2 linked regions of the Stegostoma tigrinum genome follow. Each later gene encodes a partner of the first gene's protein in a complex. Links are inferred from orthologs where the notes say so. Each region holds a gene or a part of one and is shown in the gene's direction. Other genes may lie near its edges.

The links. The genes of interacting proteins can lie anywhere in the genome.
Region 2: the proteins of creatine kinase B-type (region 1) and ankyrin repeat and SOCS box protein 9-like are in contact, whole or in part, in a cryo-EM structure (PDB 6V9H), measured with the Homo sapiens proteins. The link is inferred for Stegostoma tigrinum from reciprocal best matches to the Homo sapiens genes CKB and ASB9. Residues at the interface, in NP_001814.2 of Homo sapiens: Asn63, Pro64, Gly65, His66, Pro67, Tyr68, Ile69, Thr71, Arg130, Arg132, His191, Val198, Ser199, Pro200, Leu201, Leu202, Leu226, Trp228, Glu232, Ile238, Met240, Asn286, Arg292, Gly303, Lys304, His305, Glu306, Lys319, Arg320, Gly321; in NP_001026909.1 of Homo sapiens: Leu25, Asn27, Pro28, Leu29, Met30, Gly31, Asp32, Ala33, Val34, Ser35, Asp36, Trp37, Pro39, Glu42, Ile45, His46, Trp60, Ala67, Asp68, His69, Glu75, Ala100, Asp101, Trp102, Val111, Asp133, Leu134, Ser165, His166.

Annotation. Positions count from the first base shown.
Region 1 is NC_081363.1:40,273,522-40,281,422, reverse strand, and holds the start of creatine kinase B-type, read left to right. Parts: upstream 1-4,860; 5' UTR 4,861-4,981; intron 4,982-6,022; exon of another isoform or gene 6,023-6,025; 5' UTR 6,026-6,036; coding exon 6,037-6,229; intron 6,230-7,291; coding exon 7,292-7,446; intron 7,447-7,901. UniProt on the Homo sapiens protein: Reversibly catalyzes the transfer of phosphate between ATP and various phosphogens (e.g. creatine phosphate).
Region 2 is NC_081365.1:76,134,801-76,142,044, reverse strand, and holds the start of ankyrin repeat and SOCS box protein 9-like, read left to right. Parts: upstream 1-4,141; 5' UTR 4,142-4,294; intron 4,295-4,401; 5' UTR 4,402-4,438; coding exon 4,439-4,520; intron 4,521-7,244. UniProt on the Homo sapiens protein: Substrate-recognition component of a cullin-5-RING E3 ubiquitin-protein ligase complex (ECS complex, also named CRL5 complex), which mediates the ubiquitination and subsequent proteasomal degradation of target proteins.

The DNA of each region.
Region 1 (7,901 bases):
TGCTGAAGTGTATCGTTACTGAAGTGGTTATGGTGTAAAAATCATTGGGAGCTGGGTCATACATCCCCTGAATTTGTAAACTATTCACCTCCAAGAACAAATCTGACTCAACTGTACAGTTAACTGTTTGGCAAGGTTCTTAAGCTCAGTTAGCCTAAGCAGTTTCTCAAAACAAACTACCTTAATTTGCCACCTAATTACTAAAGAAAATGACTTCCCCACTCAAAGAAAGCACAAGGACACTTTGTGGTTTAGATTCCAAAGTACAGGCAACATTATTCTGCTTTTGGCTGTCTGACGAGGCGCTACCTGACACCAAGCCAAAGAATTCTATTCTACAGCACTTCTTTGAGAAGCACATAAATTTGCAAGATCAGATCAAATTCAGAGTTTATCATAAGTTCTAAACTGATGGACAGTCTGCTTCAAATGTAGCTAAAATTAAGTGGCTTCCCACATGTCTGCTGCCTTGACTTCTACAGGCGATAGAAGTCATAGGCCAGGGTTAGGCCACATTTTATTTAACAGAGATGCTATTCAGCCGCATGCTGAGAATTTAATATGTACAACAAAACATCATATTTTTGTCAATATATTTACTCACTTTAAATTAAAGCCTGCTATTATAGGAGGGCTTTAAACAAAATAAAATCTCAAAGACGCATTTATTTGTTTGGCAAAGTTGACAACAGAACTAATAATAAGTAAAAAATGTGGACAACAAACTATTTACAGACATTTTTGATTTGTTTATTGTGACACAGGAATCAGATATTTGGTTCCAACATGGTTGACGTAGCTTTAATTGGTCCTCCAGGTGAATATCTATCATCTGTGATCTCAAAGGACATTTTAACTTGAGTCACATATGAAAGTGTGTATCACAACAGTAGGTTGTGCCAAAACAAGACAGCATTTGCTGAGGGCATTGACGTAGACGTGGGTATTCAATGGCATTTTTCCATTTTTCAATGGGATTCTTCTTAATGTCAAAGAGACTTCAGAATATTATCTTCTGAGCACTCAATCAATTCCATCTGTAAGTCATCAGGTGCTTTGGAGACAGCAACCAGGCATGGTTGAAAAGCTAGTTTCAGTGTAAGACCATGTTTCTCAAAATCTGCGAACCTTTCACCGTATTCTTCAATCAGGGAGGAGTCTAGAACAGCTGTGCATTCTTTCACGTCACATTTCCTTAATGATTTACATGTACTTTGTTCATTAATTACCTTTGCCACTCAGCAAAGTGTTCAGCTGAAAGTTCTGGTCAAGTAGGGAGCGTATTGAAAAAGGTCAGCTTTTTCCAAAACGCCTGGATTTTTTGTCACATATTATATATAGATTTAGTATTATTTTGCAAAAAAAAACCAGATCATTTTGCTTTGATATTATGTCACACAAATATGCAGCATTTCTGCAGAAATCCCTTTTTGACAATTCACACAGTTCATTTAGTTCTTCAAAATAAATCGTAACTTGTTTTTGCAAATGTAAAAGTTTTGAGTATTTGTCTTTGTGACAACCAGTGCACTTTTAGAATGATTTGGCAGATCCACACTGAATGTTTCACCATCAAGATGAATTATGTTATGAAACTGGTGACACTGGATCCATTTGCTCGAATGTAGTTTACAGTACCTATAACTTTATTTTGTGTGACACCTAAAACTTCAGATTTGGCATAGAGATTCTGTTGATGCAAAAGACAATGAAAGGAAATCAAAGTATCTGGATCTGGTAATTCTTTTTGAAGTAATGCAATAAATCCTTCATGTTTTCCTCTCCTGGAAGGTGCACCTTCTGTGCATACACTTCATAAATTCAGTTTTGCTTCATGGCATTTTTCTTTGAAAACAGTAAAGATGTCAATTCCATGTGTCCTCACTTTAAGGGTACCCAAAGCCAGTAACTCCTCAGGGCAATGAAAATCCACAGTAATAACACAAATAAAACCTAACACCTGCGCTAAGTCAGTAATGTCAGTGGGTTTATCCATGGCAATCAAATAATAAATGTCCTCACTTTGGCATATGAAGTTGTTCTGTTATGTGGAGGGCTAATTCATGTTGCTGATCAGTTATAGTCCCAATTGAGACGTAGTTGTCTTTACTTATTAAGCTTATCCGAATCTAAACATCCGACAACTTCAACAATGCATTCTTTATTGATTTCCACATTGCTAAATAGCTTACCTCTTCTTCCAAGTATATATACTATTTTATAAATCGCTTCAATGAAGTCAGTCCATTGTCCTGACATTGTCTGAAATACTTGCTGCTGCTTTTGATCTTTCATTTTCGTAAGTGCAGACTTTTAGGGTTCCCCTTCCAGTTTAGCATATTTGTGGTCCTCATGAGTTGCATCATGCTGCTTTGCATTGTATTGCTTTACTGTTACAATTATGGCATCGCAGAGCAAATACATCATTTAATCTTTCACAGACTACAATTCCCATTCTTCATTGAATACTGTTCTCTCCCTTTAATGTTCTTTTAGTTTTTGATGTGACAGGATTACCAGTAAAAAATTTTGAAGTAATACACAGATTTAAAAAGGTGGATGTAGTATTGGTGGACAAACAGGCAGAAGGCTGCAGGTTCCCTATCCCTGTCGAAGGCTGTTGCAGTGTATTTTGTAAAGGATACGTCACTGCTAAAACGCTGCGGGTGGCAGAGGGAGGGAACGCTTATGGTGGTGGGTCAGGTGCCTATCAAGTGGGCTTTGTCCTGAATGGCATTCAGTTTCTTGAATATCATTTGAGCTATCCTCAGGCAAATGAAGAGGATTCCATCACACTTCTGATGCATCTCATAAATGTAGATGTGCAGTGGGGAGTCTGCAGGTTAATTCCTCACTGCAAAACATCCAACATCTGTTTTGATCTTGGAGCTTATGTATTTGAATAGCCGGTTCAGTCTAGTCAATGGTAATCCTGAGGATGTTGATAATACGAAATTTAGTAATTGTAATAGAATTGAAATGTGAAGGAAAGATGGATAGATCTTCCCCTGTTAGAAATACTAACTTCCTGGGACTTGAGTGACACAAATGTCACTTATCAGCCTAAACTGGCACAAACAGCTTCAGTATAAGGAGTTGAAAAGGGTACAGGTTATTGTGCAATTAGGTAATATCCCCAATTCTGACACTATGAAGAAGAAAAACATTGAAAATGGTCAGGCCTCGGAAACTACTGAGAAGCTGTTGTTCTGAATTTCCGATCAACTGTCTCCAACAACTACAACCGATTTCCTAAATGCCAGTTATGATTCCAACCAATGGAGAATTATTCAAGACTCTCATTGATTTAACCTTTGCTAATGGTCCTTGAATCTACATCCAAAATACTATCTTGATTCAGGATCAGTACTCTCACCTCTCCTCTTGATTTCAACTTGATTAAGCATGGTCAGATCAAGGTTGTTAATATGTCAGAAGTTCATAACGCTAGTGGAACTCAAATGGAGTACTAACAAACTGATTAAGCAGTTCTTACTATCTCTGATTGCAGAGTTAAGTGCCATTTAAAAGCACAAACAATTATGTCATTCCTGACATTGCTTTGGATTGAGTATTTACTGATCGAGTGGTAATTGGCCAGATTGGATTAGACTTGTTTTTCAAGAGAAGACAAAATAATGTATGACTTGGAGGGCAGGTAATGCCAATGTTGTAGTTATACTGAAACATCTTGGCAACATGCATGGGTGATTCTGGATGACATCTTTAGTACTAACACCAAGTTGCTGTGACTGCCCATACTTATATCCATTTTCTTTTTCATTATTTCATAAGAGCATCATTGACGAGATCAGGATTTGTTAGTCATATCAATATCCCTTGAATCGAGCGACTTTCTAAGCCTTCAGGTGGCAGTTAGGAATTGACCATATTGCTGTGGGTCGAGAGGCACATGTAGGCCAGTATGGCTAAGGATGATAGATTGTCTTCCCTAAAAAAAAGTATCTGCTGCTTGGGACCTCAGGAAAGACCAAGATGCACCACCCTGTTAAGACTTCTGGCTAAAGATAGTTGAAATGCTTTAGCTTCATTTGCACGGACATACTAGGTTCCAATCAGTGAGGATGGTGACTTTTGTAGAATCTCCTCTACTGACTGCTTTAATATTCCTCATATATAATTAAACCTACCAGGACCTACCAGTTTTGCCCTGATCCATTGATTGTGGGATTTAAGGTTTTAACAAAGAAAATGTGGAGTATTTTGCTCTGTCCATCACACTTCTGCAATTTAGCATACACGTAGGACACGCTTGATCAGAGTGTCATTGACTCATTCTAAGGAAGACATGATGCTGCTTATGTTCTCAGCTGGTCAATTCTCTGGCTTGGTGACAAGGTCGGTTGAGAGATATACAGTGCAATGAATTTGCAGGTCGTTCTTGATTACAATTCTACTGTTTGTGGTCCAGAAGTCGCCTCATGGGTGCCCAGACTTAAACTAAACTGAATTCAGTATATAATGCAAAACTACGACCTGGTGTTGGTAACGATACACTAGCAACACCACCTGCTTTAACAGGGTCCTCCTACACATAGGTACACGCATAACCTCTGAACGCCACCAATCCTAACGAACACCTCGGCATAACCTTGCAGGTTTTACTTTTAACGCTTCTGTCTTGAAGAAATTATTTGACAACACGTGACAACAGAATGCAAAAACTCACCAGCCCCCACGCCACGAACGGTGCCCAGGCAAACGCGACGCACGCTGATGAGGTCACAGCACATGCCCTTGGGCGCGCGGTGATGATGCGCAGAAATCCCCTTTGATTGACAGTTCATGGTGTGAACGGGGTTAAAAGTAGCAGCCAATAGCAGCGCAGCCTCGCCGCGCTATATAATTCAATGGGGACGTGCGGGGCGCTCGGACACCAATCAGGGTAACGTGGAGATAGGCTGAGGAGGGAAGAGCAGGCTGAGAATTAAATCGGCTTCTTAAAATTCTCGTCATTCAGGTAAGGTTATTTAAAGAAAAAAACAATTTAAACGCTATCCAATAATTTGCATCGTTTTGTTACAAAGCCGTTTAGTATTTAATCTGAATGCATCTCTAGCAAAAATGCATCAGTGTAACTGTCTTCGTATAAATTGCAAAGTATTCGAAAAGATGAATTAAAATTATTTTGCTATGAAACGAAAGCGTCAGCTGTGGTTGCATGTTTTAGTTTAATGAAGTATTCCTCATTCCCTGCCTCCAAAATAATTCATTTGGATGTATGTTTGCTCCGAGCATTCTTCCGTGCATTGACTGATTAGTAAAGCAGTATTGAAGGAATTTTTAAATTAGTTCATAGATTGTCTTTATGTTAATGAAAGTTTCCTAGGGAGTAAAATGCTTCTAATATTGAAAACACATTCAAATCTAATTTTGTGCATTTAAGATAGATTCCAGCAAGCTTGGAAAGGATCAAGAATGGCATTTGGGCTAATCCATTGGTTTTAATCTGTGACATCTGGACTTTAACACTTAAATAGCTGCTGTACTTGAATTGTCCTCAAATGTTGCATACAATACAACGGGAAAGGGTCACGAAGGACGAGGAATTTACGTAATTGGAAGGTTATTTGAGAATCCAATAGTGTCTTTTCAGCGATATAGAAGTACAAGACAATGTCGGAAGGGCAAAAGTATTAATCTCAATGTCAAAAATCCATCTCTTCAAATAAAATCACGAAATCGTTTTTAGTAACCTTGATAACGGTAATCGAGACCTCGAAACGTAAGATGTGTCTGAAAGATGCTAGAGACTTTGCTATTATCGCTCAGAAGTTTATTTACACCATTTGCTTCAAGCACACTGCAAATTTCGAATAACTCGTGTTCTCGAATTCACGGTTTAGAAACCAGCGTTCTTGCTGAATGGCGTGATTTTTAAAAAAGCCGCAAATGGGTCTCAGTCGTATTTTTAAAGAGCTGGACGGAAACTATTCAAAGTCTGATTATTAGAAATTCGTATTTTTAATGCGATTTCCAAAACTCTGGTTTGCGTCCGCAGCAGAAGCGGTTACTATGCCATTCAGCAACAGCCACAACCTTCTGAAGATGAAGCATTCCGCGAAAGAAGAATTCCCGGATTTGAGCCAACACAATAACCACATGGCTAAAATCCTGACCCTGGAGACGTACAGCAAGCTGAGAGATAAGCAAACCTCCAGCGGATTTACCCTTGACGATGCCATTCAGACTGGGGTTGACAACCCAGGTAAAACCGCACTGTAACGAGCTATCTGCTTTTCTCTGTACAGGAGTGTTGCTTTCCAAAGGCTGTACGAAATCAGTTGGAAAATGTAAACTAATCCCGATCCTGATCAGCTGTCAATACAGCCTGTCATGTCCATCATCATTAAACGGATCATTTATTACATGGTATTTCCACTTTAAATTTAAAGTGCTCTGATTTTGTTTTTCCCTAGCCTCTAGGCTGTGAGCCTCGATGGATTGGATCGGTTTGCATTACACCAAGCGCGGCAGCGACCTGCTGTAGACGAATGGTAGATGGTGTCTGGGATGTGATCCGTCCTATTTATGTTTGATTTTTCACTTCCATCTGGGTGTGACTTCCCCCGCACCTCCAGTGTTGAAACTCAAGAGATTATGGCCAGGAGAGTCCCCCTGATCTGAGCAAACGCGAAAAGCACATGGTCCAAGTGCTGTGCAAGAAACTCCAAAAACAAGGCCACTCCAGGTGGCTTTACTTTGGATGATGTACAGGGATTGATAACCCCTGTAAAACCTTCCAGTCGGCTGGATGAGTGTGTCGAGTTCCTTCTCTAATCGCGTTAAACTGTAGTGTTTTAGTGGCCCGGCTGACTTTTCCGCCTCCCCGCAGTAAACTCCCGATTGTCAAAGGAACGTGAGACGTGTCCTTGTGAATCATTAAGTGACCGTTTTGCTGGGTTCTGTACCCTCTCTCTCAACTCACTTGAAGTAAGCAGATATTTGGAACCCTTCAATTGTCAGTATTGCGATCCAATTCTAATATTGGGAACAAAAATTTTCAATCAAAAATGCTGTAAGCAGCATATTTGAGATAACAGTGTGAAGCTGGATGAACACAGCAGGCCAAGCAGCACCTGAGGAGCACCAAAGCTGTCGTTTCGGGCCTAGACCGTTCATCAGTGACATATTTCTGTTGCTCAGTACCTTTTTTAAATTATTCTTTTCTGCTCTCCTTGCCTTCTAGTTAAAATTCTAACTCTGCCAGATTTAATTACCAATTGTTATATCCAATGAAAGAGTGCTTTTCTCTTTTTTCCCTGTACAGGTCATCCATATATTATGACAGTAGGTTGTGTTGCTGGTGACGAAGAATCCTATATGGTTTTTAAGGACCTCTTTGATCCAGTCATTCAGGACCGTCATGGTGGCTACAAACCTACTGATAAGCATAAAACTGATCTTAACCATGAGAATCTCAAGGTGAGGAGTCTCTATATGGAATTCTTTAAAAATTCACTTATGGGATGTGGGCCTTGCTGGCTGGCCAGCCAGTGACTTATTGCCAAGCCCTTAGGGCTTGGAGGTGTTGGTGAGCTGCCGCCTTGAACTGCAGCTGCCCACCTGCTGTGGGTTGATCCACAATACCATCAAGGAGGGAATTCAATGGATTGTGTCTTTATTTTTACGTGAAAAGTAAATGAGATGTAAAACTGCTGCTGGAAGGATTTTTGACTGGCATTATACTGGTAGTACTACAAGGTTAATGTTTTTTGCCAGAGCATTTGCTAACATTATTTAATGTTGTGCAAACTGTAGAACCTACTGATTTCTGTTTTGACACCACATTTTTAACATCTAGAATCTCTGCTTGGAGAGTTTATTTTTTATATAGCTTCCTATGATGCCTTTAATGGAACTAGAAAAACATGACTTGT
Region 2 (7,244 bases), on another chromosome or scaffold:
ATCTGCATGATTTTCTCCAGCAATTCCTACTGTGTGGAAACACGCCATTAAGCCCTATATAAGTCCACACCAACTCTCGGAGGAATACTCTACTTGGAGTACTCTTTGATTTATGTTAAAATAGTCACTGAGAGAGTGGAGAAAGATTAAGTGAAATATTTTTGCACAGAGGATTGTTGAAAGATTGAATGTTTTGCCAAAGGGCATAGTGAGATAGAAATTGCATCTTCTGAGGTAAATTGTTTCAATATTTGAATTGGATGAAGATCCAGTGTTGTGGAATGAATTGGACAGTAGGATTAGTTTTGAGTTGCTTGAGAACAGTTGCTACAGGCAAGGTGGACAACTAATATTCTCCTTATAAACATCCACAGCACTATGCTGAGTAGCTGGTTTGAGAACTGTATAGAACTCTATGTAAAGTTTTGACCCCAGTGACTGCATGATTGGGCATGATGCCTCTGACTGTAACTGTGCAAACGTTTAAGGTATTAAACACCTTCCAAACCTGCCTTGTGCTGATATTAAATCCACTGTTTTTGTTCAAAAACTCATTCATCCCTGTAACTGTTCTGAAATTGGCAATATTAGACAGGCAGAGAGAGATGTAATAGGAGTGTATAATGCACTTCTTTAGAAAGTAAGTCCTATATTACTCCAGTGAAACCTATTGTGGGGAAATAAATTATGCATCTGTTGAGTTTTTTTCTGTTGATCTGTGATTAATAAATTTTGTGACTCCCTTTCCTCTCAGATGTTGAATGCAATCTATATTTACCTTCTAATGGTCCCCTTCAGGCATATAATAACTCACTGTTGTTGCATTCCAATATGACAGTATTGCAATGAGGACGTCAAAGGGAGGTATGCAGTCTGTTCATTCAAATATAGTTAAATTCTTAAATATAATAGGATGGCATAGACACAAAGGAATATGATTTTCAGAATTAAAATCTTTGAGCTGTAGCATTATGATTGCCTGCAATCAGTGAGGTTTTGATGTTGAAAAGTAAATTATACCAGTTACGTTAGGGGGCTACCTTTAATAGAGCTCACTGAACTTGCTGCTTGGTTCTGCCAGCCCTGCTTGTATAAGTTTGCATTTTACCCTCACTTTCCCATTAATAGCAACTACAGTTTGTAGGTTAGTTTCAGTTTGCAATATGTACCTAACCTCTACACCTGTCTTGCACGGTAGAACAAGAGGCGCGCATCAAAATGGGTCTGCTTCTGGTAATTTACATGAAGTATGGATATCAATTAGGTACAAATCTCCCAAAAACCTCTATTTTAATTAATGGAATATAACATTCCTAAGTACGTCTGAACATATTGCCATGTGAACACAGCGGTTGAAATACAGTAACTGATTTGGAAAGGGAAACTCAAACAGCAGCAGCCCCCAGCTGAAAGGGCAGAACTGGGTGAAACAACAGGCTGTGGGTTACAATGGCAGGATAAAGTCAGAGATACTTTGAGTCAATTTCCTGGAAAAACCAGTGGCACTGTGGAGTTAGAGCACCATCTAGATTCTAGACCAAGAGGCAAAGGCCAAGGATTTGGAGACCCAGCAATCTTAACAGCAGGATCTTACTTAAATCTAGGCAAAAATTAGCCAGAGAGGTGGGTCAGAGTAAAGGCTCAGTGTCAGTGGGCTGCAGCTTGGGACTTGCAGCCCATTGGTCATTTCTGGAGGAGGAAGACATCAGGCATGACAGTGAGGCAGAGAGTTCAAGTCTGCAGAGGCTGGCAGCTTCCTCTTCAGGCTTGGGAGGATCATTTCCACAATAGAATTACAAGAAACTTAAATTCCTTGTCCCAGCCATTTTTAGCCACTCAGTTCCTCCCTCTTGCTGCTGCCAAGCACAGCCAGTGCTGCTATCTTTGGATCTGGGATTAATCATTTGTTTTTGTTTCAAGTTCTGCTTGAATTCTCTGAAATATCTGTGCTGTAGTAAATTTCTAACCTGTCACATTCTAACTTGTTTGTGGATTGCGAGTTGAACCTTTGCCATGTAACCAGTACCTCTGAATGAACAGCTCTGAGGAGACATTTTGAGACTAACAGGATTAGATGGGTTCGATACAGAAAGGGATGTTCCTGATGGTAGAATTGTCCAGAATCAGGGGTTATACTTTTAGGGTAAGGGGTAAACCTTTTAGGACTGAAGTAAGGTGAAATTTCTTCACCCAGAGAGTGGTAAGCCTGTGGAATTCATCACAGAATGTGGTTGAGTCCAAAACTTTGAGTTTTCAAGAAGGAAGTAAACATAGGTTTTGTGGCTAGAGTGATATGGTGCAGGGGTGGGGGGTGGTGCTGCGGAGTGGAGGAGGTGGTGTTGAGAGTTCTGATCTTTATGGTCAGCCATGTCCATATTGAATGGTGGTGAAGTGTTGAATGTCCGCCTATGCTCCTGCTTCCCTCTTCCATGTCTGTATGTGCAGTCTGTGGGATAGTGCTGGTAACTGGGCTGGGTGTGCAGGCAATGTGGTAAAGCCAAGAAAGAGGGATGAATCAGAACAGATAGCTGAATGAGACCTGACCTTCAGATCCTGTTTTGAGTGTGTGGCCTAACTACCTACCCCCACCCTCCCCCGTGTACTTGCGCGCACACACAGTCACCAACCCTGTGTCCTGCACTGTTGTTGCTCTGTCCAAGCTTCCATCCTACAACTCCTACACGCAGTATCCTCACACTGTGCTGGTCTTTTATTCCTTCATTCACTTGACCACCAGCCCTGACCCAACAATCCACCTTACCTGGGGGAAAATAACTGTACAAGATCGGTGATACTGGAAAATGGACATAACCAGTTGTACCAGACTTCTGTTTTGAAGAATATAATAGAAGATGGACCAATATGTGTCTTTCGCCACTTTCTATTTCTTTCTTCATGAATAACATTTTACTGAATCCATTGAGTCTCCACTCCAGCACCACCTCCCATGCTCATTGCTCGCTCGTGGCTCCTATCCATCTCCAGGCAGACTAAGGCTGATATAATGTCAGATGGATTAAGCACCAAGGGTACAAGAAGCACAAGAATATTGTACCAGAAATATCGGAGGTGAGTTGTCACATTACCAAAAGGATGTGGATGCTTTGGAGAGGTTGCAGAGGTGGTTCACCAGGCTGTTGCCTGGTATGGAGGGCACTAGCTATTATTTTAATTAGAAAGATGGAGATTGAGGGGGGAACCTGATTGAGGTCTACAAAATTGAGGGGTATAGACAAGGTGGATAGCAAAAGCTTTTTTCCAGAGTGGGGGACTCAATTACTAGGGGTCACGAGTTCAAAGTGAGAGGAGGAAAGTTCATGGGAGATGTGTGGAAGGTTCTTTACGCAGGGGGTGGTGGGTGCCTGGAATGCGTTGCCAGCAGAGGTGGTAGACACACACGATAGTGTCTTTTAAGACGTATCTGGACAGGTACATGGATGGGCAGGGAGCAAAGGGATACAGACCCTTAGAAAATAGATGACAGGTTTAGACAGAGGACCTTGATCTGCCTAGGCTTGGAGGGCCGAAGGGCCTGTTCCTGTGCTGTAATTTTCTTTGTTCTTTGAGTGGTGCCCTGGAGTCAAACGCTTGACGCAAGGTGGCCAACTGTATTTTAAGGAATTGTCCTTTGGCATTACCCTGAGTCCTTTGGCAAAATAGGCCTTTTGCCCCATACCTCTACAGCTTGTGGGAGACTGATCCTATCTTCAAGCTGAATTATGTAAGAATGACTGCTGGTGAATGAGAGGGCAAGCAGATAGGTAATGATATTGTGATTCATCAAGATAAAGTTGCAAGTTCTAATTGATTTTGACTTCACCCCTGCTCCCCCATCCTTTGCTGTTACTGGCTGTAAGAACTGACTAATCCCACTGCACTCTCGGGCCCATTCTCACAGTCAGCTGCACTCACTCACTGTGCTCACTTTATCAAAATGTTCTGTGCTTTATTCCATAAGAAGTGGTCATCTTGCTGTGGGACTATCACCTTAAAAAAAAACTCTGTAAAGTATAGGACACCCTATCTGTATATGTCCCAGTTCTACCTGCTGTGCAGTCTTAAATAATTTGAAGGGTGCAGTTACTCTTTAAAGCAGTCGGGTTTTCTATCCTGTCGCCTGATTCATTAAATGTTTTAGGTGTTACGTTTGCCTGCTGTGCAAATTTCACTACTGCTGAGCTTTTCCATTGATTGGCTCCGACACAGGAAGTTTCATCATGTGTATTGCCAGTGTTCAGGGTTGTTGAGAATTCACTTCACCAGTACAGCAACAGCTGTTACTGTCTTTGTTCAGGTAATGTAGCGTCAAGTACTTTATAGACTTGGAGCTTAAATCCTTCTGCCATTTCCAGACAGTTCTGTTACTTTAACATGTAAAATTTATGGCTCTCCTTTCTCTAGAGATATTTGTAAAATGCAGCTACATTGCTAGTGAAGGATGACTGACAATGAAAACAGGCAGCCAGAGGTTACAGGAGGGGGTCTGTCTGGGGAGTATATCTCCAACCCACTGATGAGTGGTAAGTCAAATTACTTTATAACTAACAAGGAGAAGTGAGTGTCTGTTGCAATTCTGATCGCTTTTATGCTGTGCTTTTAATGGTAGTTGTCCTTGAGACACTAACATATAAGAAGAACACAATGTGCTTCCTGTTTCAACTGTTCTGATAGAAAACATCGTCCGGTCAAACTCTTGTCGTCTGTAAGTCAGGGGTTCCTATTTGGAGACGACCGCAAAAAAAACCCAAGGCTGACATTCCTCTGCAGTAACAGAGGAGTGCTGCACTCCCATCATTCAGATAAGACATTGGACTAAGGGCCTATCTGAAAATACCATTTTTAAACAAGAACTAGAGAATTATCCAACGTGCTAGCCGAACATTTACCCTCTTCCATCACAAATCAATGCTGTTTTTGGGTGCTTGTTAGGTATAATTTGGCTGCCATGTTTACAGCAGTGACCGCACTTTAAAAGTACTTTGGAAGTTGAGCACTTTGGAATGTCCCGGGTTTGAAACATTTTATTTGTTCATGTGATGTGGGCTATCACTGGCTTTAAAAAAAAATCATTCTATGAATTACAGTTCTCCACCCTTTGTGTCCCAGTTCCACTTTCAATGTAGTCCTAAATAGTTTGAAGAATGTGTAGTTATTCTTCAAAGTAATCAAGATTTCTGCAGTCTGGCTAGGGCTGTTTAAGGCGTAATGTCTGCCTGCTCTGCAAATTTCATTCTACTTTCCATGGATTCCAACACAGCAGCGTTTATTGCCCTCCTCTAATTGCCCTAGATTGTGGTTGTAAGCTTCCTTCTTGATCCCATTTGGTGTAGGTAAAGAGAGTTTTTCCAGTAAGGAGAGAATTCCAGGATTTTAGGTCAAAATATACTATATAAAAGCAAGTTGTTTTTCTTTCTTTTCATATCACTAGTTAAATGTGCATTTGGAATAACTGGGTTTAAAGTCACCATTTAAATGTGCACAGTGATGTGAGGCCCAATTGCTTTTACAAAAGCGCAATGGTGTTGTTAGGGGGTGGTCACTCACATTTTGGATCCCAAACTTGGTTCATTTTGTCGGAAAGATAAAGTTGGTTTAAATAAGATTTCAACTAGTGAATGTTACTCATTTGTAATCTCTTAATTCTAGCTGCTGCCTCAGATGTATAAAATGCAATTTTGATGTCTAGAATTGGAGCATTGATAAAAAAAATTACCTCCAGTACGGTTCAACAGAAGCTTCAGAAACGTTCATGGTCATCTTATTCGGTGATTTCTTGCAGTCTTGACTTGTATTTATTTTGTAGCTTTTCACAACCTGTGCTGCAGGTAATGAAACATCATTGAGATTTACTCATTGGTGCAGCTATTGGTCAGGGCACTGCAAAAAGACTCACCCACTCTTCTTTAAAATATGGGATTTTATTTTGCATCTGCTTGAGAGAGCATGTTTGAGGAGTTTGGTTGTGGGGGAGTGGAGAGGTTGAGGGTTTGGTTACTTGGGCAATCTGAAATCTTCAACCCGTCAGCAGCTCTGGGAAAATACTTAGCTGCTGTGTTCATCTGCTCCCATCTTTCTTAAGCTGGCAACTAGCTCTGATATCCCAGGCCATAGAAAATAGGCTTTCCAAAAAAAATCCCATTTCTAATGGAGGTGCGGCTTGAGGTGGGACGAGGGGTTAGGTGAGAGGAAGAACAGGTTAGGGAGGTGGGGACGAGCTGGGCTGGTTTTGTGATGCAGTACGGGAAGGGGACGAGCTGGGCTGGTTTTGGGATGTGGTGGGGGAGGGGGAGATTTTGAAGCTGGTGAAGTCCACATTGATACCATTGGGCTGCAGGGTTCCCAAGCGGAAAATGAGTTGCTGTTCCTGCAACCTTCGGGTGGCATCATTGTGGCACTGCAGGAGGCCCATGATGGACGTGTTGTCTAAAGAATGGGAGGGGGGAGTTAAAATGGTTCGCGACTGGGAGGTGCAGTGGTTTATTGCGAAGCGAGCGGAGGTGTTCTGCAAAGCGGTCCCCAAGCCTCCGCTTGGTTTCCCCAATGTAGAGGAAGCCACACCAGGTACATCCTGTCACCTATCCCCTCCTCCCACCTCAAGCCGCACCTCCATTTCCTACCTACCAACCTCATCCCGCCTCCTTGACCTGTCCGTCCTCCCTGGACTGACCTATCCTCTCCCCATCTATACTCTCCTCTCCACCTATCTTCTCCTCTATCCATCTTCGGTCTGCCTCCCCCTGCCTCCCTATTTATTTCAGAACCCTCTCCCCATTCCCCCTCTCTGATGAAGGGTCTCAGCCCGAAACGCCAGCATTTGTGCTCCTGAGATGCTGCTTGGCCTGCTGTGTTCATCCAGCTTCACACTTTGTTATCTTGGATTCTCCAGCATCTCCAGTTCTCATTATCTCTGATCCATTTCTAATAACCAGTTTAGTTAATTTCTCTGAACATCTTGTGCCTGTTCTTGAAGATGACTAAATTATCCCACAGAATCAACTTCTCAATGGAAAATGACTGCTCATCTGCATCAGATGAATATATTTTGAGGGCACCGTTAACTTTTACAGAACCTTTTTTCATTCAAAAATATTCCTCATTAATTCAGAGAGTGTTAGAATCTTGGCAGAGGGAGGAGTGCTACTTCTGTCTACAGATGTTGTTTGACGTGCTGAGTTTTTCTAGCAATTTCTCTTTTTGTTTCTGATTGGCAACATTTCCTCTATATATAAAATTTGATGGTAAAG